Linked DNA regions of Arabidopsis thaliana. The protein of the gene in region 1 binds, or shares a complex with, the protein of each later gene. Each region holds a gene or a part of one and is shown in the gene's direction. Other genes may lie near its edges.

Region 1 (3,752 bases):
GCAGAGCTAAAAAGCGAATACAAGTTGACCAAAAAAGGTCAAATCCCTGGTTCCATATGAAACTGTCAAACTTTGGACGTGCATGGATACAAAAGCTTCTGTCAGTTTACTTTCCTGGATTTAGGGTTTTAAAACCAGCTGTGAGGTTTGCTGCAATGTGGCAATGTCACTGCAATGTGTTGTATAGAGTCTTAAGTCCTCTGTTTACTTTAAAACCCGTATTTTAACTTGCTGCTATTCACAACAAGAAAAATGAAGTCTTGTCTAGCTACTTTTGCTCTCGCAGTGTTAGTAACACAAGGAAGCATTTTTAGTTTGTGTTTGGCCTCCTCTGCTTCTACAAACTCTGTTCCTAATTGGTTTCATCATTGGCCGCCGTTTAAATGGGGACCAAAATTTCCATATTCTCCACCTAAACCGCCGCCAATCGAGAAATATCCTCCACCGGTGCAGTATCCACCACCGATCAAGAAGTATCCACCGCCACCATACGAGCATCCACCGGTGAAGTATCCACCACCGATCAAGACTTACCCTCATCCGCCGGTGAAGTATCCTCCACCAGAACAGTATCCACCGCCGATTAAGAAGTATCCTCCACCAGAACAGTATCCACCGCCGATTAAGAAGTATCCTCCACCAGAACAGTATTCACCGCCTTTCAAGAAGTATCCTCCGCCAGAACAGTATCCACCACCGATCAAGAAGTATCCTCCGCCAGAACATTATCCACCGCCGATAAAAAAGTATCCTCCGCAAGAACAGTATCCACCACCGATTAAAAAGTATCCTCCGCCAGAAAAGTATCCACCCCCGATCAAGAAGTATCCTCCGCCAGAACAGTATCCACCGCCGATCAAGAAGTATCCTCCGCCAATTAAGAAGTATCCTCCGCCAGAAGAGTATCCACCACCGATCAAGACTTATCCTCATCCCCCTGTGAAGTATCCACCGCCTCCGTACAAGACTTACCCTCATCCGCCGATCAAAACTTATCCTCCTCCGAAAGAATGTCCTCCTCCGCCTGAACATTACCCTTGGCCTCCGAAAAAGAAATATCCTCCACCGGTTGAGTATCCGTCGCCGCCATATAAGAAATATCCTCCGGCTGATCCATAGTAACTCAAAACCAAACAAGGACGTGTTTGTCTATAAGTATATGTCTAGTTAAAAAACTGTTCTGTTCTTTCTGTTATGTTCTTTCTTTTTCTTATGACTTTCTGTTATGATGCATCAAATAAAGAATAAACTGTTCTGTTTTGAATTTGTTAAATAGGAGAGTGCAAGCTCAAGAACAAGCTGTTTCATAAATAAATAAAATATATTTTCTAAAATCAAGTAAAGTAAAAAAAAAATAGATATTGTACTAAATGAATAAACTTGATTCAACAAAGTTTTGTACGTTGTTATAATTTCACTTAAATAATTTAGTGCGTCAAAAAAACAAAATTAAAACGTAATTGGTCAAGGAAAAAAAAACAAGTCTCAAGGGAAAAGGAAAACAAAAAAAAAGGAAAATTTAATAAGCAATCTGGACCGTTCATACTTTTTAGATCTGACGGCTGACAGAGAACTACCATTGGGCATCTTTTATAAACAGAGAGATTTGTTTGATTCCGGTCGAACTCAAAACATAATTTGCTCTCAATAAGACATTAACAAAGTCCCAGAGGCAGAGAGAGAGAATCAGAGAGAGAGAAGTCGAGATGTTTTTCCACATAGTATTGGAGCGGAACATGCAGTTGCATCCTCGTTTCTTTGGTCGTAACCTAAAAGAAAACCTCGTATCTAAGCTCATGAAAGATGTCGAAGGCACTTGCAGGTTTTCTTTCTCTATTCACTTCTAGTAGAAAATCACCAATTTCGGATGCTTTAATCGCAAACCCTTTTCCTCAATTCTCAATTCGGATTCGTTTTCCTTAAGACAACTTCGAAAAAGTTGCATATTTTTTCGAACCCTAATCTCCGTCTAGTTCAATTTGTTAGGTTTTAGGGATTAGAGTGGATTAAATTCGAATAAAGATCGTTCTTTTAACTAAATTGTAGTCTTTCTCTGCTGCTTGTGACTAAAGTCTGATTTTTAGCAGAATTTTTTTCCAAAGGGATTTGCTTTGAAGCCTTTAGCTTTCTTAGGATTAAGATATGACTTCATCCAGCTCACTTAGATGCCTGATTGCAAATCATTCAGATCCAGTATCTTGTTTTGTATTTGATACTCAAGTCTAAAACTTTGTTCTTTAGTATAGTTCGCTTAATCCATTGCTTGTGACAGAGATTTGTATTTTGAGGCCTCTAGCTTTTTGTATTTGCTTTAGGTTTAAGATGTGAAGTTTCATCATTGCAATGTCATATTGATACTTATCAATATTTGCTCTTTTCGTTTTGTGGTATGGACAGTGGCCGACATGGATTTGTAGTGGCGATAACTGGAATAGATACAATAGGAAAGGGTTTGATCAGAGATGGGACTGGTTTTGTCACCTTTCCAGTTAAATACCAATGCGTCGTTTTCAGACCTTTCAAAGGCGAGATTTTGGAAGCTGTTGTCACTTTGGTCAATAAGGTAATGTATCTATATAGTCTTATTTTTTTAGTCAAATGTCTTTAGTGACAAATCAACCTTATGGATTTTCCTAATATTATCACAGATGGGATTCTTCGCTGAAGCTGGCCCTGTTCAGATTTTTGTGTCTAAGCATGTAAGCTTATGATCTTCCATCATGAATTTGACCTCGAGTTCATTTTTGATTCTAGGTGTTATGTACTTACTCTTGTTCTCCTCTCTTTTATCACCACAGTTGATTCCAGATGATATGGAGTTTCAAGCTGGAGACATGCCTAACTATACCACATCAGATGGATCAGTGTGTTTCTTTCTCTAGTTCTTATTTCCCAACAGTATTATATGTGTTTCATCTATCTTCAAGGAACTCATTTTTCCAATGCTTCTCTTGCAGGTTAAGATCCAGAAGGAGTGTGAAGTGAGACTAAAGATTATTGGAACAAGAGTTGATGCCACTGCGATTGTATGCACCATCTCCTCCATAACTCTAGTCACAATCCAACTTATAGTTTTTAGATTATTCTTATCAATTTACACATTTGTTTTTTGATTTTGCAGTTTTGTGTGGGTACCATCAAAGACGATTTTTTGGGAGTCATAAACGACCCTGCAGCGGCATAAAAAGTTTCAAGCAGATTTCAATTTTGGTCTTCTTTCTTTCACAGAGAATGCTGTCTTGTGATAAAGTTGTATTATAGTTGAAGTTTTGGATCTATTTAATCCGAAAGATTGGAACCACGCTTGTTGGATTTAACTTATATGCAAGTTTAGTGAACTTCGTATTTGATCAAAACTGTTGTCATTTTGAGAACAATATAGTACCGAGTAGTGGATCAAATTCTACATGTCTCAATGAAAATTGTATAATTTGAAATTGAATGGATGTTTCATTGATTGTTAGTTATATTGTTTCATATGTTGTGGAAGATATTGAAACTCTTGTTTCATACGTTGTGGTTCTGTTTATCAAATATTTGATAAATCTAAGAAAACATGTTAAAAGTCATCAATTGCTTCTCTCATTCATCAACTTTCCTTATAGGATTTGGTTTTTGGTAAGACCTCTTTGACTATCGAGTAAAATATCTAATTGTATGATATATTGACCAAAATGTACTAATTAAATTCATTGAAAGTTTTCTGAATTTTAACACATTCAATGAATTTGAAAACGCTTTTTTCAAATAAA
Region 2 (3,752 bases), about 21 Mb from region 1:
CAAAAACTAATTTGCAGAAATGGGCGGGTGAAGTTTCAGTAACTGGGGAGTTTTCAGCTCCCCTTTCTTCTGGTGGGCCTGGTGGTCTTCCCGTCCCATACATCGTTATTGGAAACAAAGCTGATATTGCTGCCAAAGGAGGAACAAATGGAAGCAGTGGCAATCTTGTTGATGCAGCTCGTCATTGGGTTGAGAAGCAGGGTCTGCTTCCCCATAGTGATGAACTTCCTCTCTCTGAGAGCTTCCCTAGCAATGTTGGTCTCATAATGGTAACCACAGACTAAATTACTTGCTTTATTTGAATTTAGTGTTATGCGGTATGTCATATAATTTTGGTAAAATTATGCACAGGCTGCCAAGGAAGCTAGATATGACAAAGAAGCTCTGACCAAAATTTTCCATATGGTTGGTGTCATTTCTGACCTTGCCATGTTTTACAATAGCTCTCTCCCTCTCTCTCTTTCTCTTCAACCTAATGAACGTTTTTCGTTTTCAGTTGATAAGAAGAAGATATTTCTCAGACGAACTACCGTCGCCTTCTTCAGCATGGTCTCTTTCCCATGCACCTTCCCAGCGGTTAGATGAGGGCACAAGTGATGAAGATCAGTTCTATAAAAGAACAAGGTATATATATTTATCATCCTAAAAAAAATCGGATTTCTTTTCTTTATCGGGTTTTGGTCTTTTGAATTTTGCAGCCTAAGGGAAGGAGATGCTTACAAATATAACACATTACCGCAACACAATCTCATGCAGTCTCCTACACTCTATCCGCAGCAACCACCTGACCGTTACAATTACGCTATTCCGAGATTCTCTCTTTCCAGTGTAGAGGAAACCAGCAATGGTAATGGCAGGTCTAAGCGGATGGATATTAACGTCTGAAAGTAAAACACAGATCAAATCTCACATTATTTTCCTGTAATCTTCCAAACATTATCTTCTTTTATTTGTCAACACTCCAAACATAATCTAAGTATTCTTTTTTTCTAAATAATACATGATTCGTGTGATAATTATCTTAATCATGTGAAAAAAACTTGATAAGTTTTTTTTTTTTTTTTTTTTAAGTTGGTAAGTATAAGCTTGATCAGTTAGAATTTAGAATCCCAAACTAAATCGGATTGTAAACAACTCAGTTCCTTATAAATACACTCGAATCATAATTGTAAGACAAAGAAGAAGAAAAAAAACAAAGTGTTGTATCCAAACGATGAAGACAACAAAGATTGAGAGTGAAGCCGTATGTAAGCATTGGTTTTTGTATATAGCGGAGTTCATCAAAGAAAGACTAAGTGAAGCGAAACTCAAGGAATACATGGGGTTGATGAAACAATTTAGGTCCCGGCATATACAAGGAGATGAACTCATAAAGTCTCTTCAAAATCTGTTTCAAGGAGACGTGGTTCTTTCTCAAATGTTCAACGCACTTATGAAAACAGAGATCCAAGAACTGCAAGGTAACGAAAATCCGGAAACAGTCGCAAGAAAAAGAACAAGGAGTGAAGCAGAGAATGATGATGGGATTGAAGAAGGTGAAATTCGAGAGGGGCATTGCGATTGTCCTCGTTGCAAGATTGGTCGGGAAGAAGCAGAAAGGCGTAGTATACCCATTAAGAAAAGAATTTGTCGTGGGTTTTAGAAGATTTTGTTTTGTTCTTAATATCACATGTTATTCAGTTTGTGCTTTTCAAATATTTTTCCAAATTCTATGTTACTACTCAATTTATGTTAAATCATAAAATAACTTGGGTTTTTTTTAATCAAATTATATTATGATAAATTTTGTTGTTCTTCTCTATTTATCATCAATTATAAATATATTTCTAATTAATCCTGTTATGATGATATTCAATTTCTTGCAGAATATATGATTGTAGTAAACAATTTTGATCTTTTTTTGCTATTAAATCAAAAATTTATACCAACTTTATCAAAATCATTGCCTATTCAAACTTGATGATTATTATTCGGTTTATTTCAATTTTTCTCTATTACTAACATAGTAACATTTATCTAATTAACCTCTCTTCCCCAAAAAAAATCTAATTAACCTCCTTGGATTTTCCTTTTTTAATTATAGAGTTTGCTTCTTTTTTTTTATATATAACCGGTCAAAGCTTTTGTTTTGTCTCATATTCATCACTTTCGTTGTTAAGACGGAAAAAAAAAAAAAAGAGGCAGAACCAAAAAACTTTAGGGTTCGATTTCGCTCCTTGGTAATCACCATGTCCGGAGAAGAAGAAGAGAACGCCGCCGAACTCAAGATCGGAGATGGTACTTCTCTATTCTCTTCGCCATATCCCCCGCTGTGTACCTCAAAATTAGGGTTTCTTTGCCTCATCGAATTGATCTTAATTCAATACGATTTAATTGAGCTTAACTGTATCGAAAATCCCTTAATTATTTGAGATTTATCATCGAAATTGATGGGTTTTATTCTCTTTGACAAAAGAGTTTTTGAAGGCAAAGTGCTTAATGAACTGTGAAGTCTCTTTGATTCTTGAGCACAAGTTTGAACAGCTTCAGCAAATCTCAGAGGATCCTATGAATCAAGTTTCTCAGTAAGTATAATTGTGTTTCATAGAGATTCATTGTATATTAGCCATCATGAATTGAAGAATTTAGTCAGTTTTATATGTTACTTCTAGGTTAGTGAATCAATGTTGAATATTGTTGAAGAAGTTATGTTTGCTCCTTGCAGAGTGTTTGAGAAGTCCTTGCAATATGTGAAGCGATTCAGCCGCTACAAGAATCCAGATGCTGTTAGACAAGTTCGAGAGTATCCTTTTTCTGAATTAGTTTGATTCAAAGTTTTTAAGTAATCGTTGCTTTGACATGCTTCCTTCTTGATGAGTGAGATTTTACAGTCACTGGTTTAATTCTATAGTTTTGTGAGAATATGCTATTCCTTAACTCAACTTTTGCAGAATACTAAGCAGACATCAACTCACTGAGTTTGAGGTACAATGTTAAATCTCTTGAGATTGGATTTTTGTTTATCAATTAAGTCGTTTCGGTAGAAGACTTAAAACATTGCATTGTTCATTATTGAACAGCTATGTGTTCTTGGCAATCTCTGTCCTGAAACTGTTGAAGAAGCAGTGGCAATGGTTCCTTCTCTTAAGGTAAATAAAGATTCTACTTTTTCTATTCAGTGGAGATAATAAGATAACCTCAAAAGGACAAATTGTATTGTTATGTAAGTGGACTTTTGAGATGATGTAAGCTTCTCTTTTGTGTAGACAAAAGGAAGAGCTCATGATGATGAAGCTATTGAGAAGATGCTCAATGATCTCTCACTTGTCAAGAGATTCGAGTAGTGCAGAAGATTCTCAAGATCTAAGATTCTGAACATTTAGCAGGATGCTTTACTTGCCTTCTAGCTGATCTGGAGTTAATTCGCCACGTCTGAAATTATAAAGCTTTAATGCCTAGAATTTCTGGAATGATACCTTCATGTTAAATGAATGTAATTTACAACGGATGATCCAAGCTTTTAATGAAATATACCATCTCTTTTTCACTAAATCAAGTAAGGGATGACACTATATACATACTACACCTAAAGCAGCTATGTGTGAACTGTGAAGCTTTAATTCCATCTCTTGGCATTTTTGCTGGACTTTGACTTCTTTTTGGAAGCTTGAAACGCTTTCATCTTTTGCTTCTTCCGTGCTTCTCTCTCAGCCTTTGACATCTTTGACTTTGCTTTCACTTTTGGAGCTTTTTCTTCCAATTCTGCTTCCCTC

What was found. Proteins that work in one complex are often made in the same cells at the same time.
Region 2: NRPB7 (region 1) and NRPB4 share a complex: the UniProt entries of both Arabidopsis thaliana proteins name them as parts of the RNA polymerase II complex.

The regions. Positions count from the first base shown.
Region 1 is NC_003076.8:23,881,793-23,885,544, forward strand, and holds NRPB7 (DNA-directed RNA polymerase II), read left to right. Parts: upstream 1-1,563; 5' UTR 1,564-1,706; coding exon 1,707-1,822; intron 1,823-2,397; coding exon 2,398-2,563; intron 2,564-2,648; coding exon 2,649-2,699; intron 2,700-2,798; coding exon 2,799-2,864; intron 2,865-2,957; coding exon 2,958-3,026; intron 3,027-3,121; coding exon 3,122-3,184; 3' UTR 3,185-3,513; downstream 3,514-3,752. Other genes in the region: AT5G59170 (Proline-rich extensin-like family protein), read left to right, coding at 253-1,119. UniProt on the Arabidopsis thaliana protein: DNA-dependent RNA polymerase catalyzes the transcription of DNA into RNA using the four ribonucleoside triphosphates as substrates. Component of RNA polymerase II which synthesizes mRNA precursors and many functional non-coding RNAs.
Region 2 is NC_003076.8:3,094,048-3,097,799, forward strand, and holds the start of NRPB4 (RNA polymerase II, Rpb4, core protein), read left to right. Parts: upstream 1-2,135; 5' UTR 2,136-2,228; coding exon 2,229-2,277; intron 2,278-2,455; coding exon 2,456-2,564; intron 2,565-2,704; coding exon 2,705-2,782; intron 2,783-2,930; coding exon 2,931-2,964; intron 2,965-3,059; coding exon 3,060-3,128; intron 3,129-3,245; coding exon 3,246-3,323; 3' UTR 3,324-3,595; coding exon of another isoform or gene 3,596-3,752. Other genes in the region: AT5G09910 (Ras-related small GTP-binding family protein), read left to right, coding at 1-269, 352-405, 497-624, 699-885; ABCF2 (ABC transporter family protein), read right to left, coding at 3,596-3,752. UniProt on the Arabidopsis thaliana protein: DNA-dependent RNA polymerase catalyzes the transcription of DNA into RNA using the four ribonucleoside triphosphates as substrates. Second largest component of RNA polymerase II which synthesizes mRNA precursors and many functional non-coding RNAs.